2 linked regions of the Sus scrofa genome follow. The protein of the gene in region 1 interacts with the protein of each later gene in a pairwise test. Links are inferred from orthologs where the notes say so. Each region holds a gene or a part of one and is shown in the gene's direction. Other genes may lie near its edges.

Region 1 (5,693 bases):
TGATGTGGTGGTTAAAATTTTTTCCCTCACACACATGGAAATATTTACATAATGATTTAAAATTAAAATGTCTGTATTACCTATAATCTCCCCAAGTACTAGGGTTAGTGGACCATATCCTGGGGATACCAGATTGAAGTATCAGGAGTCAGAGAATGGCCATGTGGCCTTGGGTAAGCCAACCACCCTCTGAGCACTGCCAGCCTTGTATGTTGGCAAAGAAGTGCAGCCTGTGACAAGACACCCAGATACCTGCATATTTGTGCACAGGGACCATGCTTGGTGTGTCATTTTGGAGTGTGTGTTTTTAGGCCTACCCAGATTTTCCTTGGAGGTACCTGGAAAATGCATGCAGAGTTTCCCCGGCTTTAGGGGATGGTGGAGGAGTAGTGGTGGGAGGCGCTATTATTCCTTAAGGCAGTCCTCGAGTTACTTTGGCCTGACTGCAGCAAACAGGTAGTAGTCACACGCCTCACCTGGTGGCCTGGGATTAATTCCGAGATGGGAGGACTATGAAGAAAGACACCGAAAGCAAGATGAAACTGGTTTTGGTAGCTTGCTTGAGAGAAAGAGCATAGCTGTGGAGTCAAGCAGACCTGAGTTTGAATCCAAAACTCATCAATTAGTAGCCTTGTATTCTCAAACAACTTAAAAAAAAACAAAAACAAGAAAACAAAAAAAACAAAACCTTAAAATTCCACCATTACAGAACATTGTAAATCAACTATATGTTAATTAAAAATTTTTTTCACCATTATCGCCATTGTCCAGATGAGGAAATAGGGGTTCAGAGAAGTTAAACAACTTTCCTGAAGTCACACAGCTAATCAACAGAAGAGCAGAATTCAAAATTAGATTGGTTTATGGAGTTCTCTCTTGGTCCAGTGGGTTAAGAATCCTGGGTTGTCATTGCTGTGGCTCTGGTTACAATTGTAGCACGTTTCATCCCCAGACAGGGAACTTCCGCATGCATGAGTGTGACCAGGAAGAAAAAAAAAAAAAAAGAACTTTGAACTTTGTACTAAGATGAGAAGTACTGTTGGAGGGGATAATAGATCTGGTGTAGAGAAATTACTTTGGCTACTGTTGCAGAGCAACTTGTGAGAGGGCCAGAAGGGAAGCAGGGATCCCTGTTAGGAATGTATTATGTAGTATAATCCAAGCAAGAGATAATGCAGACTTCGACAGGTGTGTGGCCAAGGGAAAGATTGAAAACATGCAATCAGCTGGATGAATGAGAAAGAAAAGGAAGATGTCCAGGGTGGAGCTTTTCTAACTGGGTGGTGGAGGAAGATGGTGAGTTTAGGGAAGTTTGTGAGGTATCCAAAAGGAGATGTCAAGTAGGCAGTTAGTAGGTCACTTATCTCTGACACAATTAAACTTTAGTAAAATAGGCGACCTCAAAGAGCTATTGTGTCAAATCAGAGCAGAGTAGATGCTCCATAAGCGGCAGTTCTCTCTCCAATTCCTCTCCCCTAGGCCTCTTTGCGCGCTAAGGATACAGCAGGGCACAGAGCCAGGTCGTGTTCACCCCGCGATCTGGTTCTCTTTGGTCCCTATCCTATCCTTTTTCTTAACGCAATTCCTGGCTCAGGAAGGTCTGAAGAAAGAACTAATGAAATTAGGCCTCTTGAGACCCAGGGCCACACGTACCCGACTGAAAACGGGAGCTAAACCAGACTTTTGGTGGGCTGAAAAAAAATAAAATAAATTTTAAGAAAGCATGAAATAATCGAGGAATTGGAAAGCCTGGACAAAGGCTGGGGAAGGAGCTCCTCCCATCAAATAGCCTCGGAGTATGGTTAACGAGAGAGGAATAGCCGGTGAGAGCTCAGGGGCCCTGAACGCCAGGGTTTCTGAATCTCCGAGAAGAGGAAAAAGCGAGACAGAAGCACGGACCAGGCCTGGCGCGGTCCCGCCGCGGCCTTTAAAGGCCCACCACGTGGCCGAGTGGCCGGCCCCGGTCCGGAGGCGGTGTCCGGGCTGAGCCTGCGCACAGCCTAGGGGAGGGGCCTGGTTTCCGAGAAAAGGCGCTGGGAGAGGAAAAGAAGGCTGCTCAGGATGTGCGGCCGTGGGAGGAGTCAACTTCTCATGCAAATCACAGCGGCGCGCGAGGACTAAGGGGCGGGGCTTACGATGCAAAGCCAGGTCCTCCTTGGGAAGTGCGAGGGGGCGGGCCCCACAACCCTCGGCCTCCTTCCGCGAGTCTCTGACGTCAGCGACGTCTCATTTAAAAGCGGCCGCGCAGGCGCAGTGAGCCGAAATGCGAACTTAGGCTGTTACACAACTGCTGGGGTCTGCTCTCGCCTCCCGCCCGGCAGTCAGTCAGCGTCGCCGCCGCTGTCGCCGCCTCAGCCTTACCGGGAGTCTCAGGCCCGCCCCGCCGACGTTTACTCGCGCTTCCGGGAGCCTTCGGGAGCCTCCGGAAGCCCCTGTCCACCCGCACAGGCCGGTAGCGACCGTCTGCGTCTCCTCGGCGCCCCTCGCCGCCCGCCGCACTCGCCACTCCTGCCGACATGAGTGGGGACCATCTCCACACCGATTCCCAGGTACGGCCCTGCCCGACCCGCCTGGGTCCCCGGCGCCGCCCCGGCCCTCCAAGACCCCCGGCGCAGGCCCCGGCCTCGGCCTGGCCGCTTTGACAGGCCGGAACCCCTGGGTAGGGGCGGCCGGCCGGAGGCGATGGGCTCCCCGGGCGGAAGCCGCCAACTTCCAATTTTGGGGGGCTGGCGGGCCCTGGCGGCCGTTCCCGGGGCCCCTCCATCCCGGGGGGCGCAGGGTGGGACCGGCCCACGGCCGCGCGCGCTCGCCCGCCGGCCGCCGCGGGGTGAATGTGCCTGTTGTTTCACGGTCCCTCCTTTTCTCTCCCCAGATCGAGGCGGATTTCCGACTGAATGGTGAGTGTGCCCCCTCCCCGACCCCGGGTCCCCGGCCGCCCGGCCCGAGCCGGGCAGAGGACAGACATGGCGTCCCAGAGACTAAGTCCCGGCTTCTCGCTCACCGGCCCCATTGTTCCCATCGGGCCGCCTCTGGACCCCCTTTCCGGGGACCCCACTGCCCCCATATCGCGGCCCTCCCAAGAGGGGGCAACGGAGACCCCGCGTCGCCCGTCACCGGGCGTCGGGCAGCCTTTCCGGGCCCGGATTCCTCCCGGGAAAGTCGCCCTGTCGACAGTCGGGACTTAGTCTCTGCGCCATTTTCTTTTTCTCTCTCCTCTCCTTTCTGTGCTTGTGTCTCTTTCTCTCCCTCCCTCGGCTCCTTCCCTGAGCTGCCCAGAAAGAGCTTTCTGCAGAGCAAAGCCATATAAATCACAGACCTCAGCAGAGGGAAGGGTGGGAGCCTGAATTGTTACTATTTTTTTCCAAAGAGAACTTTATTTGAGGGGTTATTCCCCTACTGCTTCTTGTTTGTTTCCTTTTCTGCTTCCAGAATGAAAGATACCCTTGAGCAACTGTTGATCCCCCCACCCCTTCGGTGAGATGTTTGATGGTTAGAATTAGGGCTCTAAAACTAAAGCCCTCCTTTGTGGAGTTCTTCACCTTTTGAGATTGCTTTCCCCAAGTTGTGTTCTTTGCCAGGGTAGTGGTATCTACTTTCAGAAAGTTTACAAGTTGTCTGTGGGCCATCCAATGTTGGACTTGGGCATATAGATTTTTTTTTTTTTTAAGTAAAGTAACACCGACTAGAACTTTTCATTGGGGCTGAGATTCCCAAAGCAGTGTTTTTCTAACGCAGTTTCATGTGGTTGTCAGGAGGAAAGGTTGTTCAGCATCTCATCTGGCCTGGAGTACTGGCCTTTTCTTGTGGGCTGTGGGTCAGAAAAAAAAGATTTTATTTATTGAAACAAAGAGTGGCCAGCACCCATTCTTCCTGCTCATTCTTCTTCAGAAGCCACTGTTTTTCAGGAATTGAGAGCTAGCTGACTTTTGCCAGATGTTCATATTTTTGAACCCTTTTCAGCCAAATCAAGGCACTTACTCTGAGTATTTCCAGTTCAGTTGCTCAGTGAAGATTCCCCAGGAAAAGCTTCCCCTGTGAGCTTTTCAGCAATCCTTTTGGAGGAGAAGGCACCCTCTGTAGTGTGCTGGGAATTCCCACCCATTCTGATGGTATACATAATTCTGCTCAGTTGAGTTTGGGTTCCGGGAATCTCTCCAATGGGAGAAGCTGATGAGTAGGTTTTCTGATGTTGTAATCAGCAGTCCATCGTGTTAGCCTGCTCTACTGAGAGCAGAGCAGCCTTATGTTCAGATTTTGGAGTAGGGCATCCAGCAGGAGATAGTACTAGGGGAGAGGAGAGAATCTGGTTAAAATGTAACAGTTTTTGAGCACCTGAGAGATGTGCCCAGCACTGTGCTAAGTACTAAAGTTGAATCTTTGGCCCGGACACTGCTGTTCTTGCCTTCAATCCAGTCTATCTGGGGAGACATAATTAGTTAATTATAAGGTAGGTGCTGGGGCATATGTATACCCGAAATGCTTTGGGTGACTAGGGCATTCAGTCTGGGGGTGGGGAAATTTCTCAGAGGAGGTAGCTGGGTGTTGTGCAAGACTAGGTGCTGAGTGTCAGGGGTTAGAGTATTTCCTAACTGTTCAGTCAGCCTATCAGGGTTTTAAAAGAGGGAGATGAGGCCCTTGCAGTTCAGAAAGCCAGAGTGTAGATATGTTTCTTTGGGATGTGGAAGCAAAGAAAGGATGTGTCAGATGAGGATGTCCTTTTGACCTCTCTTGGAAGAAGGTAGGATCTTAATACAGAATAAATAAATGTTCTTTTGACTTTGAGACTAGGCTGAGTAGGTAATGTATCTAGTAATGAAACAAAGTGTTGTCCTTTCTCAGAAAGTTAACCTCCGTGGTTCTCACATAGATTATACAGAGGAACTATTGTATATGTGAATGATGGTAGGCTAGGTAAATTATTGATCTTTAGTGCCATTTTTTGGTAGAGACTGGAGTAAATTGGTTATATTGACTTTTAGAATTTTTCACTTGTAATAGCAATAATTGTTCATATTTATTGAATATATACTGTTCCAGACATGCATCTCAGCTCTTTTCATGGATTAACTAGTTTAATTTAATCCTTGGAAGAACCCTTATGAGTTAGGTACTATTATCTCCATTTCCATAAGTAAGGAAACTGAGACTTGGGTATATTTACCAGCTTTCCAAGGGCAGTGAGTTGGACACTACAAAGCTCACAAGGTTAGCCACTATGCTCTGTATGATTCTAGTAGGAAGAAATTAAAAGCTGCACATCTTTACTTTCTTACAGAGCTGAGAAAGTCGAGAGGGACGAATTTGATAGTTTGTCATTTGTTTTTTTATCTAAACCTGCTCTTTTAAGAGGATAAGCACTTAAACTGCTTCCCTACTGCCCTAATGATCTGACACTGGAGTATTACCTTTGTAAATATTGTCTAGAAGAAAGATGTAGTATTAGTAGCTGTGTGCTTTCTCTATTAAGTAATACACTGATAACTAGTGATTGATTTATGTAACTACGAAAGAGTTTAAAAAAAAATAAAAATCAATGTTTAATTATACCCAGACAAGTTATTATTGATCTTTGTATTAAGAGTTTGCTTAAGCATGGTTTTAAGTGGACCTAACCCATCTTACAGATTAACTGTGCCAGTTCATATATTAAAACAAAAAGCCCTCATTTGCCTGCCCTTATCCTCTAAGATCTA
Region 2 (5,075 bases), on another chromosome or scaffold:
AACCCACTGTGCTGGGCTGCGGGGATCTGAGCTGCTGCAGTCGGATTCATAACCCACTGTGTCACAGTGGGAACTCCTATATATTACTTTTTTTTTTTTTTTTTTTTAGCTATTTCTTGAGCCGCTCCCGCAGCATATGGAGGTTCCCAGGCTAGGGGTCCAATCGGAGCTGTAGCCACCAGCCTACGCCAGAGCCACAGCAACGCAGGATCCGAGCCACGTCTGCGACCTACACCACAGCTCACGGCAACGCTGGATCGTTAACCCACTGAGCAAGGGCAGGGACCGAACCCGCAACCTCATGGTTCCTAGTCGGATTCGTTAACCACTGCGCCACAACGGGAACTCCCCCTATATATTACTTTTAAAGTGAAACAAAGATCTTTGAAAAAAAAATCAGGTTTGAGATGGCTTTGCGCATGGTTATAATGTTGTACGATTTGGCCTTCTGTTCATTTCTCACCCCAAAGGGCAGAGGCAGTGGGCTGGCAAGGTGGGAGTGTCTAAAATCCAGGGGCTAAGGCTGATAGTGGAAGTCTATCGTAGGGGTGGGGCTAATGCCAAGGAGCTAGGAGGGCTGATGACATCCACAGAGCTGAGTTCCCAGGTGAAGGGGTTTGGCTTTCATGGGGAGCACCTGGAGGGCTTTAAGCAGCGGCTCCCAAAGACCTGGTTTAAGTTGGGAGGAGGCTAGATTCTAAAAAGAGTAAGGAAGGTTGGGTTGTTGGGGCTGGTGGTTGTCAGGGAGCAAGCTGGGCAGTTTTAGACGACAGTGGTAGTGGAATGGGGCCTGGACTGCCACAGAATTCTCCGGAACAGTGCAAAATGAAAACATGGGGGCGCCCCCCACCCTGAAAAAAACCCCATGCAGCCCAGTGTTAAAAATTTACTTCCCTGAGGTGAGAGCAGAGCCGGTCCTCGAGGGGACCCAGGAAAAGGGAGACGATTCAAGGTCTGCTTTGGAGGTAAGAACCGGCCAGGATTCGGGCTGAAACTGGACACTGAGGAGGAATGTCTTGCCTGTGGCTTTGCGGGCGGTCCATGGGCCACCGCCCAAATGAAGAAATCCCTTCTCCACGGGAAGGACCAGGCTTTGAGAATCCTGAGGTCTCCCAACCCTTTTATTTTTTTTCTGCCCTGCCCGGCATGCAGATGTTTCCAGGCCAGGGATCGAACCTGTGCCACGGCAATGACCCGAGCCACAGCAATGACAACGCCAAATCCTTAACCTGCTGAGCCACCAGGGAACTCCATCCCAGTCACTTTTTAGACGCTTAATTTTCCCCTTCCTTCCCCTTCGCCCCCTCCCCCCCCCCCTTGCCCCTCCTCTCCGGTCTCTCCCCCTCCCCTCCCTTCCCCCCTTGCCCCCTCCTCCCCCCCCTTGCCCCACCCCCTCCGCTCTACCCCCCCTCCCCCGCCCCCTCCCTCCCCGCCCCGCCCCGCCCGGCGCCGCACCGACAAGATGGCGGCGGGTGGGAGCGGCGGGCGCGCGTCGTGCCCGCCGGGGGTCGGCCCGGGAGCGGGGGGCGGCCCGGGGCCCAGCGCCAACGCCGCCCCGGCTCCCGGCAACGCGGCGGCCGCCGCCGCCGCTCCGGCCCCCGCCGCCCCCGGGCCGCCGCCGCCGGTGTCGGGGCCGGGCGCGCAGGCCGCGGCGGGCGGGGAGCGGGCGGCCGAGGAGCCGGGGGCGGCCGCGCTGCTGCGCGAGCCCGTCTACAACTGGCAGGCCACCAAGCCCACGGTGAAGGAGCGCTTCGCCTTCCTCTTCAACAACGAGGTGCTCTGCGACGTGCACTTCCTGGTGGGCAAGGGGCTCGGCGCGCAGCGCATCCCGGCGCACAGGTGGGCCGCTGTCCCGGGACCGCCGTCCCGAACCCTCCGCCCCCGCCCCTGCCATCCCGAACCCCGCTACCCCTGGGATCCACCAACCCCCTGGACCTACCGTCCCCGAACCCTGCCACCCCTGGGACCTACCCCCGGCCCCCAACCCCGCCATCCCCAGGACCCATCTTCCCTGGATCGGGGACCCGCCATTCGCGGAACCCTGCTGGCTCAGGGACCTGCCCTCCCCGGACATCCAGTGTCTCTAGGACCCTTTCGTCCCCAGTACCCATCATCCTCAGGCCCCATCCTTCCTCGGCCCTACCAGGCGCCCATCCACCCCGTATTTCCAGATACTAGCCATATTCTGGTCCTGAGACCCTCTGCCTTTTCATTCTCATCAGTGACTCCTGGCTCTGCGACCCCTGACCCCACCACCTTGGCCAGGATCTCCCAGACCAAGGGACCTTTTCCACCCCTGGCGTTCCTGGGACCTTTCAACCCCTGCCAGGCTCTCCAGGCCCTGCTGTCCCAGCTTGGCCAGCCTGAGGACCCCAGACACAGCCACCTCCCTCCACATCCTCCATCATGACCTCCTCCCCCTGACTTCCCCATCCTTTTTGGGGCTAGACCCCCAGAGCCTCATCAGACCTCCAGCTCATGAACCCAAGACCCCCAGACTCCTGAGCCACAGAACCTGCAGTGACCCCCCATCTCGGTGCTGCCCTCAGCTCCCTGACCCCTTACCCCCAAGGCCTCTTCTCCAGAGGCGGGAGTTCTGGGTCCAGGCCCCATCCCTCTGCCAGTCTCTAGGATGCGGCCCCCAGGCCCTTAGGTGGGGTGGGGCTGATGTCAGACACTGCCCTGCCCACTGCTGGTTCCTCTGGCCCTGCTCTCTGGGTAGCGGGGAGGCGCTGAGGGGGTTCTGTTAGGGGAGGGGTTAGGGGGATTCTCCTCATTCTGCTTGGAGTGTCCCCCAGCCTGCTGTGAGGGTCCTCTCTACCTTTCTGATGTGTGGCTTTTGTTTAGCCTGTGCCTCTGAAATCCTTCTTTCTGGTTTTTCTTGGTTATTAATGAACAACTGGGTCTAAATTCCTGTCCAAGGAAGGTTCCAGGCCCGTGGTTGGGTCCTCAGGACCATGTGTGTGTTGCAGCCCCCCCCCCCACCGAAAACTCAGAGCTGGAGGTGGTGGATGTGCTGCCTTTGAGCCCCCAGCCTCCCTCGCACCGTTCCTACCCCACATTCCTGCTCTGTGGGCGTCCTCCATTGAAGGTGCTAGTTCTTTTTCTTTTTAGCCTTTCAGTGATTATTTCATATGCATTGTTGAAATTTTACCTCCAGTGGTCAGTGGTCGGGTAGATGACTGCCCCATGAGTGACCCTGGCCCTTGCTGAGCCTCAGTTTCCCCCCGTGACTGGGGACTGAGCCCTGGGACCCCTCCTTCCCGGGACCACTGGGAGGATGGACCCTGTGCTGATCACAGTGGCCCAGGGCTCGTCCTCTGTACGGGCTGGCTTAAAATACAGGGGGGTCATGAGCCAGAGTCTAAAATGAACACCCAAGACCCTCACTGATGGAACAGAGGTGGAGAGAGGACAAGCTTCCTTCTGGAGAGTTCCTCTGGACCTCATTCCCACCTCCAATCCTGGGTGGGCCCAATCTGGGGGCTTGCTTGTAAAGAGAAGACTAGAACCCAACCTAGAGGAAATTGGGCAGATGCCATCTTCGCCAGATGGTCAAGGTCAATTTCACAGTGATATCCTGGGGGTGACAGAGCCCCCCCCTCAGCAGAAATTGATGAGAAGGGCACGTCACCTTAGCGTGTTTTTTCCTAAACCTGTAACCCCAGTGTCTTGGGTTGAATGGTGCCTCCTCCCCAAAATGTGTGCCCACGTCCTGACACCCAGAACCTGTGAGTGGGAGCTGATTTGGAAAAAGGGTCTTTGCAGGTGTGATTAAGAGTTGCAAGAGATCATTCTGGATTATCTGAATGGGTCCTAAATCCAACGTTGAGTGTCCTTAGAGGGACACTCTGAGGAGAGATGGAGGGAAGACAGTCACATGACAGTGGGGCCAGAGGCTGCAGGGACACAGCCACAAGCCCAGGGTGCCTAGGGGCCACCAGAAACTGGAAGAGGCAGGAAGGATCCTCCCCTGGAGCCTGGGGTGGGGAGCTCGGCCCTGTGACACTCTGATCACCCTGATCTTGGACATGTGGCCTCAGGAACGTGAGAGAATAAATTCTTCTTGTTTCAAGTCACCCAATTTGCAGTGATTTGTTAGAACAGCCCCAGGAAACCAGTACAGCCAGTCCTCTCAGAAAATACCAGATAAACCCAGCTTGGGGACATCCTGCAGAACTCAGGCCAGTCCTCAAGATGGTCCTGGAAGGGGCCTGAGGACACAGCTAAACACCGCTTTCCTGAAAGAATGAACGGCCTGGGGCAGAAAGGAGGAAAGGCGGACCTGGTAACTGGGGAACAAGGCCTGAGGTCCCTCACACCTGGCAGAGCGGGGAGGGGCTTGTGCTGACTTCCTGGAAGGGTGTGGGGTCCAGACCCACCATCTCCCAGGACCCTGGATTGGGGTGGTCTTGGGCTGGGGTCAGGGGGGCTGTGAACTCTGCATGGTGCACGGTGACCGGTGACCTGGGCACGGGAGACAGGAGGGCTGGAGTCGGCCTGGCTTGTGTGACTTCAAAGGGCCTGGGCCGAACACACTCAGGCCTCAATCAGACCACCGCCCATTCTGCTTAGCTTTGCAGCTCCCACCTCCTTGCCCTACACTCTTTTCCCTTCTAACTTTCCCTGGCTGTCGTTGGCTTTATGTGTGACTGTGTGGCTATGAGCAGGGCTTTGCCTCCCCGTCCTGCATTTCATGTGCCCAGGAGAAAGCCTGGCGTCTACACTTGAGGGGCTCCCTATGAGGAAATGCCAGGTATCTGTAAGGTAACACTGTATAAGTCAGACAGCTCCACAACATTAATATCTAAAATACCTTTCTTCTATCACGGGAAACCTAGCGGCACAGAGAAGCCCAGAAAGTGGAGCAGCGTGTGTCTGGGGTCCCTGTCTTTCTTTGATCTATTTGTGTGTGCTGCGCCCAATGACACCGTTTTGATGACTGTGACTTTATGGCGGGGTTTTGAGGATTGCTGAGGCTGTTCCAGTTTTATTCCTTATCAAGACTTTTTCAACTGGTCTCACACACTTCACTCTTCTACATTCAATCACCCATCCCTCCCTCCCTCTCTCCC

The links.
Region 2: the proteins of TOP1 (region 1) and BTBD2 interact in a two-hybrid assay, tested with the Homo sapiens proteins (2 studies listed by BioGRID). The link is inferred for Sus scrofa from reciprocal best matches to the Homo sapiens genes TOP1 and BTBD2.

The regions. Positions count from the first base shown.
Region 1 is NC_010459.5:43,708,064-43,713,756, forward strand, and holds the start of TOP1 (DNA topoisomerase 1), read left to right. Parts: upstream 1-2,206; 5' UTR 2,207-2,516; coding exon 2,517-2,549; intron 2,550-2,872; coding exon 2,873-2,897; intron 2,898-5,693. UniProt on the Homo sapiens protein: Releases the supercoiling and torsional tension of DNA introduced during the DNA replication and transcription by transiently cleaving and rejoining one strand of the DNA duplex.
Region 2 is NC_010444.4:76,537,085-76,542,159, forward strand, and holds the start of BTBD2 (BTB/POZ domain-containing protein 2), read left to right. Parts: upstream 1-1,453; 5' UTR 1,454-1,462; coding exon 1,463-1,839; intron 1,840-5,075.